Oryzias latipes: one gene and its partner. The protein of the gene in region 2 purifies or fractionates together with the protein of the main gene of each other region. This does not show direct contact. Links are inferred from orthologs where the notes say so. Each region holds a gene or a part of one and is shown on either strand. Other genes may lie near its edges.

Evidence for each region.
Region 1: the proteins of ehmt2 (region 2) and mier1 purify together in Homo sapiens (co-immunoprecipitation; 3 studies listed by BioGRID and IntAct, with this or other methods). This does not show direct contact. The link is inferred for Oryzias latipes from reciprocal best matches to the Homo sapiens genes EHMT2 and MIER1.

The regions. Positions count from the first base shown.
Region 1 is NC_019875.2:16,593,224-16,597,346, reverse strand, and holds the start of mier1 (mesoderm induction early response protein 1), read right to left. Parts: upstream 2,870-4,123; 5' UTR 2,840-2,869; coding exon 2,831-2,839; intron 2,795-2,830; exon of another isoform or gene 2,667-2,794; intron 1,732-2,666; coding exon 1,698-1,731; intron 1,446-1,697; coding exon 1,297-1,445; intron 510-1,296; coding exon 315-509; intron 1-314. UniProt on the Homo sapiens protein: Transcriptional repressor regulating the expression of a number of genes including SP1 target genes. Probably functions through recruitment of HDAC1 a histone deacetylase involved in chromatin silencing.
Region 2 is NC_019869.2:5,431,805-5,436,030, reverse strand, and holds the start of ehmt2 (histone-lysine N-methyltransferase EHMT2), read left to right. Parts: upstream 1-1,341; 5' UTR 1,342-1,387; coding exon 1,388-1,414; intron 1,415-4,226. UniProt on the Homo sapiens protein: Histone methyltransferase that specifically mono- and dimethylates 'Lys-9' of histone H3 (H3K9me1 and H3K9me2, respectively) in euchromatin.

The DNA of each region.
Region 1 (4,123 bases), on a different chromosome or scaffold from region 2:
TACACACTTTATACACTTTACTAAGACAGACATAATTATTCATTTAACATTTTTCTCTTTTAAACTCTCAAAGTTTAAACTTTCAAAGAAAAATAAGTCCAGTATTTTGGAATGAAAGAGATCTGCTCGCGATCAAAATTGTAAATTTGGCAAACTGAACAGATTATAGAGCCACGGCACAGAAGATATTGATTGGCAAAGGCCTACAGCCAATCAGGACGCAGGACACAACCTGCTGTTAAAAAAAATTAAAAAACATACTAAATTGCATTGAAAAAAATCCGCAAACCAGTGAGACCACAGCTAAAAACTACCTCAGTTCTTTTCAGCTCCCCAGTGCTTCTGCTGCTTTCATCGTTATCAAGATCCTCCTCTTCGTCCTCTTCCTCGTCGTCCTCATCCTCAGGTTCTTCCTCCTCCTCTTCCTCCTCCTCCTCTTCCTCCTCTGCTGGTGATCTACCCCCATAGCCATAAAGGCTCAGCAGCTCATGTATGGGCATCTCACCTTCCTATTAAAAATAAAGCTGAGTTTAGTTCACTTCCTATTATTACTGATTCACAGTAAGACATTGAATGGTGATGAAAGTTGCCCTCTGACACAATGTGAATCTATTAAATCCTCAGTTTATAGAAAAAAACAAGTTTGTTGTTTGTCTATCTTTCTTTAGGAGAGATTGAACTTTTTCAATTTTAAAATTAGCCTAAAGGTTGTGACCAGGAGGAAAAACGTTATTGGTGTGATAAAGACGTCCAGTTTCAAGGTTAAATCAATATTCAAATGCTGTCAGAGGCCCTGTGGCGCGATTTGGGCATCGGGCGCGGCACGTCGGTCCGGCAGCAGCGCCATTTGAGTGTTGCGTCCAGAGTTCAAATCTCTGAACTTTGACAAAGTGGGGTCTTCCATGCATCGTAAATGAGATGCACACAGACACCGCTCCCTGTAGCAATCAGGCCAAAAACATTTGGTGGTAGCTCCTCCCACAAGCCACGCTTCCAAACATAGGCGGCCGACGCAAATCGTGTTTGGAGTTAACGCAGCATTACAATGATGGGAAATGAAAATGTGTTCGTTTATGTAAAAATATATCAGATCCATGAATAATATATCATTCCCATTATTAGTTACAAGTTAAAAGTAACTATTTCAATTAAAAATATCACACTAGATTAAAGACAAATTTTAAAAATCAGGTTAAAAACACACAAACAAACAGGGTTTTCATAACTATAATAAATACCACCAGAAATATAACATTACATTTAGCAAAAGGTCTTACAATTTAAAATAAAACAAACCCGTGCAAGGTCTTCAATCTCATTAACATTGGTGTCGTCTGTCGCCTCCAGCCTTTCTTCCTCCTCCAGTGTGCGTTCATCATCAAAGTCATGCACCAGCATCTCAGCGGTGGGGTCAAAATCATGGTCATCAGAACCTGCTGAACCTCCTTGGAAAGTGCAAGTAAAAAAAGGAAACAAAGGAGCATTTTTGAACCAAAAAGTCATTTATCAATATATAATACCAATTTTAGAAATTTGACATAACAAAATATTGTGTAACCCTAAATATTAACAAAACAGCCCAGAATGTATGTATGCCTTAGAGACCATTAAAATAAGAACAAAGATGGGGAAACCAGCTTTTACTTTTTATTTTTTTAAACAAATTCCTCTACAAATTATGTGTAAGCATTTAGTACCATGTGTACCTGGGCTCGAGTTCCCCAGCGAAGGCTAGAGAGAAAAAAAGGAAGAAAAGTTAGTCAAATAAAAAAGTTCAATACAGATGAAACCATTACAGAACACATCCAGGCATCATAACACAAAGATGTACTGAATGAGACAATACAAGACAGAAATACACACAACATGAATAAAAAAATACATGACAACAAAACAAGAGCCAAACATGTAACAAGTGGGAATAAAAAACAAAAAATTAGGAGGATTATTTGCTTTAGGTAAAATTTTCTTCAACATTTATGTTGACGTTTTAGGATTGTGTTTGTACATTACCGAAATAAATCTCTCTCTCTCTCTCTCTCAAAATCTTAAAAACCAAAAAATCTCAAATGTAAGTATTAAAGGTTAAAAAAAAAACAGGCATAAAATGAATAATTCATGGGATGTGAAACTGAAACCGTTCGCTGCTGAACAGCTTTACATAATCAGGTTCGTGTGGCGGGGTTTTGTTTAATATAAGTGGCATAAGAAAATATAAATGTACAATTAAATTCCTACAACACCTCAGAAACAACAAAAAAGAAAAAAACGATAAATTTCACGTCTTTTTCCGACAAAATATGATAAATAAGTAAATATAAATTTATAATAAATTCCAAAATTTAAAAATGCATCATCTTTAACTATAAGGAATATTCTAGAAATAAGCGCTGACAAACTTTATTCATACTAATTGAAATTACAATTTTTGCAAGCTAAATAATCTTTACTCGTTTTTTTGCTAAAGCATTCCTAATTTAAGCTCGCTATTTATAGATTTCAGGTGAAAAAGAAAAGAAAACGCGTAAATTACAGTTATTTAAAAAAACTTTTAGAATTATGTTTATGAAAAAACGAAATCCTTTGTTGATAATTTATTTTTAAACAAAAACCGCGGAACATAGTCGCTAACGCCGCAGCTAACGTTAGCTAAGCTCAAAGTTTACCAAACATGTCTGGATCCAAAAAATGGCGCCCGTCCAGCGAGACAAAACGCTGACGTTCCGTGTCGTGTTCAAAAGCTACAGCAGGGGAGTGTGAGTAAATCTGGCTGAACCAGCCGCCCACAAGAAGAAAATAATTTTAGTGAAAATGTATAAGACTTTCTTACCTCCGCCATGTTTGTAATCCTGCAGGGTCACGTCAGGGGTCAGCTTCAGCACCCGGATGTGAAGCTCCGCCTACCTGCGGTATCAACAGTCATAAAGCAATGCGGCTCAAATGAAGCGGATTACTTCCTATTCCTATTTTTATTCAATTACAAAAGCACATCATATTATTTGGAGTAGTTTCTGGTGATGATCTATTTGATTTGACATTCAATACTTTATTAATATCTGGGAAATTTTTCATTCATAAGAGCAGATTTTCAAAAACCAAACCCATTACTCAATAAATTTCAAAAAGAGATCAGTTTATATTTTAAATCTCTGAACATAATAAATAACAAAAAACGCAATACAATTATCTTTCATTGAAGATCACATGTTGTATGACAATCCCTAGTATTGTAAACTACAATTTTAATGTTATATTTTTATTTTATATTGTTTTTATTAAAATAATTTTATGTGTAATTTATTCTTTTTTATTTCTTTCATCTGTATCTATGTGTATATGTTTGTTTGAAGTTCAATAAAAATTATATGAAAAAAGTTTTACCGGATTACTTCCTGAAATAAATAAATGAAGAAAAATTAAAACCCCAATAAATCAATCAATACATATAAAATGATGATAATAATAAACAATAATGACAAAATGTGATTTTGAGTTTTATATTTAAATATATAAAATCAAAAGTTTAGACTCAAGCACAGCAATAGAAACATGGCCAACACTAGAGTTTTACATTAGTTAATACCAGAATGTTTAAGTTGTTGTGAAATTGTTTTAATGGCTATTGGTTTCCTTTATTATGCATTTGATACAAAGTCAAGTTGGTAACCTTATGAATCAAACTTGATTCAGTCTTTTGTATTTTGTGTGTGTAAACACACAGGTCATTCCAGAATTGGAGGACGTTTTACATCCCTGCCATCAAATTTTAAATGCACCCCAATCAAAATCCCCAAATCTTGCATTTGCACGTACATTTAATTTTCCTGAAACCAAATCTACAAAAACTAAGGGGGAAAAAATGCTTGAAAGTAGTTTTTTAAAATACCAAAACATATTTTTGCTGTCTCTTGCAACTGTGAAAAACATTTGTCTTAATAAACAAAATATCATTTTCAATAATTTAATTCCAAATGAAACATGTCTCTCACAACATGCACACATTCCTGTTACTATAACTTCTGTTTTTATCATGATAGAAAAAGAATCCAACAGAAAATGACATGATATTCTGGACTTGGCATTGCTTTTCCAAAAGAGTGGCTGAAGCTAAGGAATCTCCTCT
Region 2 (4,226 bases):
CTTGGCCCTTTTGTTCCAGAAAAACGGTCTTCTGAATGCTTCAACATACCAAGAGACGTGGACAATTCCAAGCCTATGAGGAGAGTCTGGGGAAGGTGGCTTCCTGTGGCAACATGAGCGCATGAGCGCCTGGTTTTGTACAAAAGCAGGGTCCACCAAAGACATGGATCGGATCTGCACAGAGTCCTGACATCAACTCAACACCTTTGGGACGAAATAGAGCAAAACCTATGACCTAAACGGAAAGGTCAAGCATTCCCAATAAGTTTGTAAAAATCTCTCATTTCAGATGTTATAGCTGCAAAGGCAGTTATCTGAAAGGAAGTCACTAATGCACAAAATCAAACAAATGTAAAAGCTAATTTTCCAAACATAACACACCTTTCTGTATTCATTTTTGTGTGATAAGTTCTTTGTTTTTCTTTTAAATTGAAAAATGTTTTTATCATATAAAACACTGTTCTGTGGGCATGAAAATTGCTTTACAAATAAAGTTAGATTTGAATTGAAAAACCAGAAATGTTGGTTTGGCCAAATTTAAAGGGAAAATAAACTGTTTATCAACAACACGAGTTTTTCCATTTAAAACGCAATAGAAGCTTTTATTATTACTCTTGCCTGGTGTAATAATAAAATGTAACTAAATACAATTATTTTTGCATCACGTGTATCTAATATCGATTTAGCATTCAAAGTTGGTAGCCTCGGGAAGAAAGGTTAGTCAAGATAGCTAATCTGGGAGTAAAAGAAGATTAGGAAAGTGTAGGTAATCCACATGTGTTATCTTAACCTAGGTGGTTCAATTTTTAGAGATAGAAACAAACAAACAATACAAATCACACATTTTTATTAATTTGTTTTACCTTAAACTAGCTAACCTCCTCGACTGTTAGCTAACGTTAGCTACCAACTAAACGCTCGTGCCTAAAATCTACGGTCCGATCCAAAGAGGATCGGCTCCCAGCCACAGAACCAAAGCTCCACAATTTTTGGAAACTTTGCGCTTATTTCTATACGTACCTTTGTCTCGTGGTGTTCGGTGATTTGTAGCGTCTCAAACAGAAGAATCAACTCCGAAGGCACACTGCTGACAACATGATCTCATCTCGTGGCCGCTGCTGTGCTACTGCCCTCGATTTTTTGTGTTTACTTCTATCGCCTCGTTTCTCCGTAGAGAGTGAAATTCATCACAATGAATCACAGACCGCCAGTTTGACATACGAAACCGACTTCGAATCGGTTTCCACGCGCAACTTTTTGTGGAAAACGGCCACGAGCCACGAGCACGTACACTGGTTTCTGATCAGTGATTCGGAATCAGTGTGCTTCGAAGGGGCGGGGCTGGAGCTGTGACGTAGCACGTTCAGCCGACGTGCTTCGGGGAAACATGTCGGCGTCCCACACAACGACAAAGGTAGCAACTGCAAAACGGGTTTACGAGCCCTTTTTACGCCTTTCTATTCTATTTTTACATACAAATGCGCATTAGTTTATTGGACATAATGAAACACAAGAATCCCGCATACCGTTAGCGTATTTGTGTATGTATAGATAAGAATTATTGTCTTGTAAGCAGTGTTAGGATGCTAGCAGTGCTAGCATGTAACAGTTATAAATGAGTATTTAGTCAACATTAATTCCTACACTTGACTCCCATTTATGACTATTTGCTACACATTCAACCCTTTAAATATATTTTTTTAATGTTTTAAATTATTCCACTATTTATCACGGAGTTCGTTCTTGTTGTTCTGTACGCTAAGTTCATCGTTTAAAATAGAAAACAAAGTGCACGAAAATTAATTTGTATTTAAGAAATATATATTTTTAAATGATTTTTGTGTTTATATTTGTGTGAAAGAGAAAGCTGGATATCTCTTGTTATGGGCTGGTTGACATGGCAACCGGGAATATAGGAGTTAGCATCGCCGGGAGGTGAAATTTGAAAAGAAAGTCTTAAGTTTTTAGATCAATCTTTTGTGTCATCATTTTTTAAATATAATTGTTAGATGGTATTTAAGTAACTAAAGCAGATTGCCATCCTACATACTTAGTTTTATCCTCAGCAAAGATTTAGGAGTAAAGCATTGATTTATGTGGAGAAAATATTATTATTACTAGTGTTTTTTTCTGGCAACATCAATTGAAAAAAACATTTTTTTTTCAACAAATAGTTTCCTATCAGTGTAAAAAATATGTGTTTTTTTTACTAGCTGTTTTCTCAGAGTCCATCACCTCGTGATAAACTGCAGTAAATGCATGACTTCTTGGGTTATTTTTTCTTTTAATCAGACACGTTTTGTGTTTTTTCACATACCTGACATGTTTTGGCGGCATCTGAGTCGTGATCAGGTGGTGGGGATGTGACAGGTGGAGCAGAGGAAATACTGTTATTTATAATAATGGTATTTCCTCTGCTCCACCTGTCACAACACCACCACCTGATAACGAGTCTGATGAAGGCAGAAGTGATTCCGCCGAAACGTGTCAGGTACATTCAGGAACATAAATATTTGGACATAGACAAATTCTTTCTAATTTAGTTTTTGTACATTACCACAGTGAATTTTAAATAAAACCACTTAGATGCCATTGAAGTGCAGACGTTCAGCTTTTATTCCATGGGTTGAACAAAAAGATTGCATAAAAATGTGAAAAACTAAAGCATTTTTTGAACACAATCCCTTCATTTCATGGGCTAATAAGTTATTGGACAACTGACTTCCATGCTATTGCATGGGCAGGTGTGGGCAATTCCCTTGTTATGTCATTATGAGTGAAGCAGATAAAAGGCCTGGAGTTGATTAGAGGACTCGTGCTTGCATTTTGAAGAGTTTGCTGTGAACAGACAACATGCGGTCAAAGGAGCTCTCCATGCAGGTGAAAGGAGCCATCATTAAGCTGGGAAAACAGAAAAAAACAATGCGAGAAATTGCTACAGTATTAGGAGTGGAAAAATCAACAGTGTGGTACATCCTGAGAAAAAAAGAAAGCACTGGTGAACTCAGTAACGCAAAAAGACCTGGACGGCCACGGAAGACAACAGTGGTGGATGATTGCAGAATCATTTCCATGGTGAAGAAGAACCCGTTCACAACAGCCAACCAAGTGAACAACACTCTCCAGGAGGTAGGCGTATCAATATCCAAGTCTACCATAAAAAGAAGAGTGCATGAAAGTAGATACAGAGGGTACACTGCAAGATGCAAGCCACTCATAATCCTCAAGAATAGGAAGGCTAGATTGGACTTTGCTAAAAAGCATCTAAAAAAGCCAGCACAGTTCTGGAAAAACATTCTTTGGATGAAACCAAAATCAACCTCTAACAGAATGATGGCAAGAGAAAAGTATGGCGAAGGCGTGGAGAAGCTCATGATCCAAAGCTCACTACATCATCAGTAAAACACGATGGAGGCAGTGTGATGGTCTGTGCATGCTTGACTGCTAGTGGCACTGGGACACTAGTGTTTATTGATGACGTGACACAGGACAGTAGCAGCCTAATGAATTCTGAGGTGTTCAGAGACAGACTGTCTGCGCAGATCCAGGTGAATGCAGCCAAACTGATTGGGTGGCGTTTCATAATCCAGATGGACAACGACCCAAAACATACAGCCAAAGCAACTCAGGAGTTTATTAAAGCAAAGAAGTGGAATATTCTTGAATGGCCAAGTCAGTCGCCTGATCTTAACCCAATTGAGCAGCATTTCACTTGTTGAAGACTAAACTTCAGACAGAAAGGCCCACAAACAAACAGCAACTGAAAGCCGCTGCAGTAAAGGCCTGGCAGAACATTCAGAAGGAGAAAATCCAGCATCTCGTGATGTCCATGAGTTCAAGACTTCAGGCTGTCATTGCCAACAAAGGATTTTAAGCCAAATATTAGTAATGACCATTTCATTTGTCCAATTACTTACGAGCCCATGAAAAGAAGGGATCGTGTTTAAAAAATGCTTTAGTTTTTCACATTTTTATGGAGTCTTTTTGTTCAACCCATGGAATAAAAGCTGAAAGTCTGCACTTCAATGGCATCTGAGTTGTTTGATTTAAAATTCACTGTGGTAATTTACAGAAACTAAATTAGAAAAAAATGTGTCTGTGTCCAAATATTTAGGGTCCTGACAAAACACAAACCATGTCTGATAAAAAAAAAATAACCCAAGGAGTCAGTTAATCTTATAGACACAATGAACTTTATTGAATATCCATGGTTTCGGTTTCTGAAA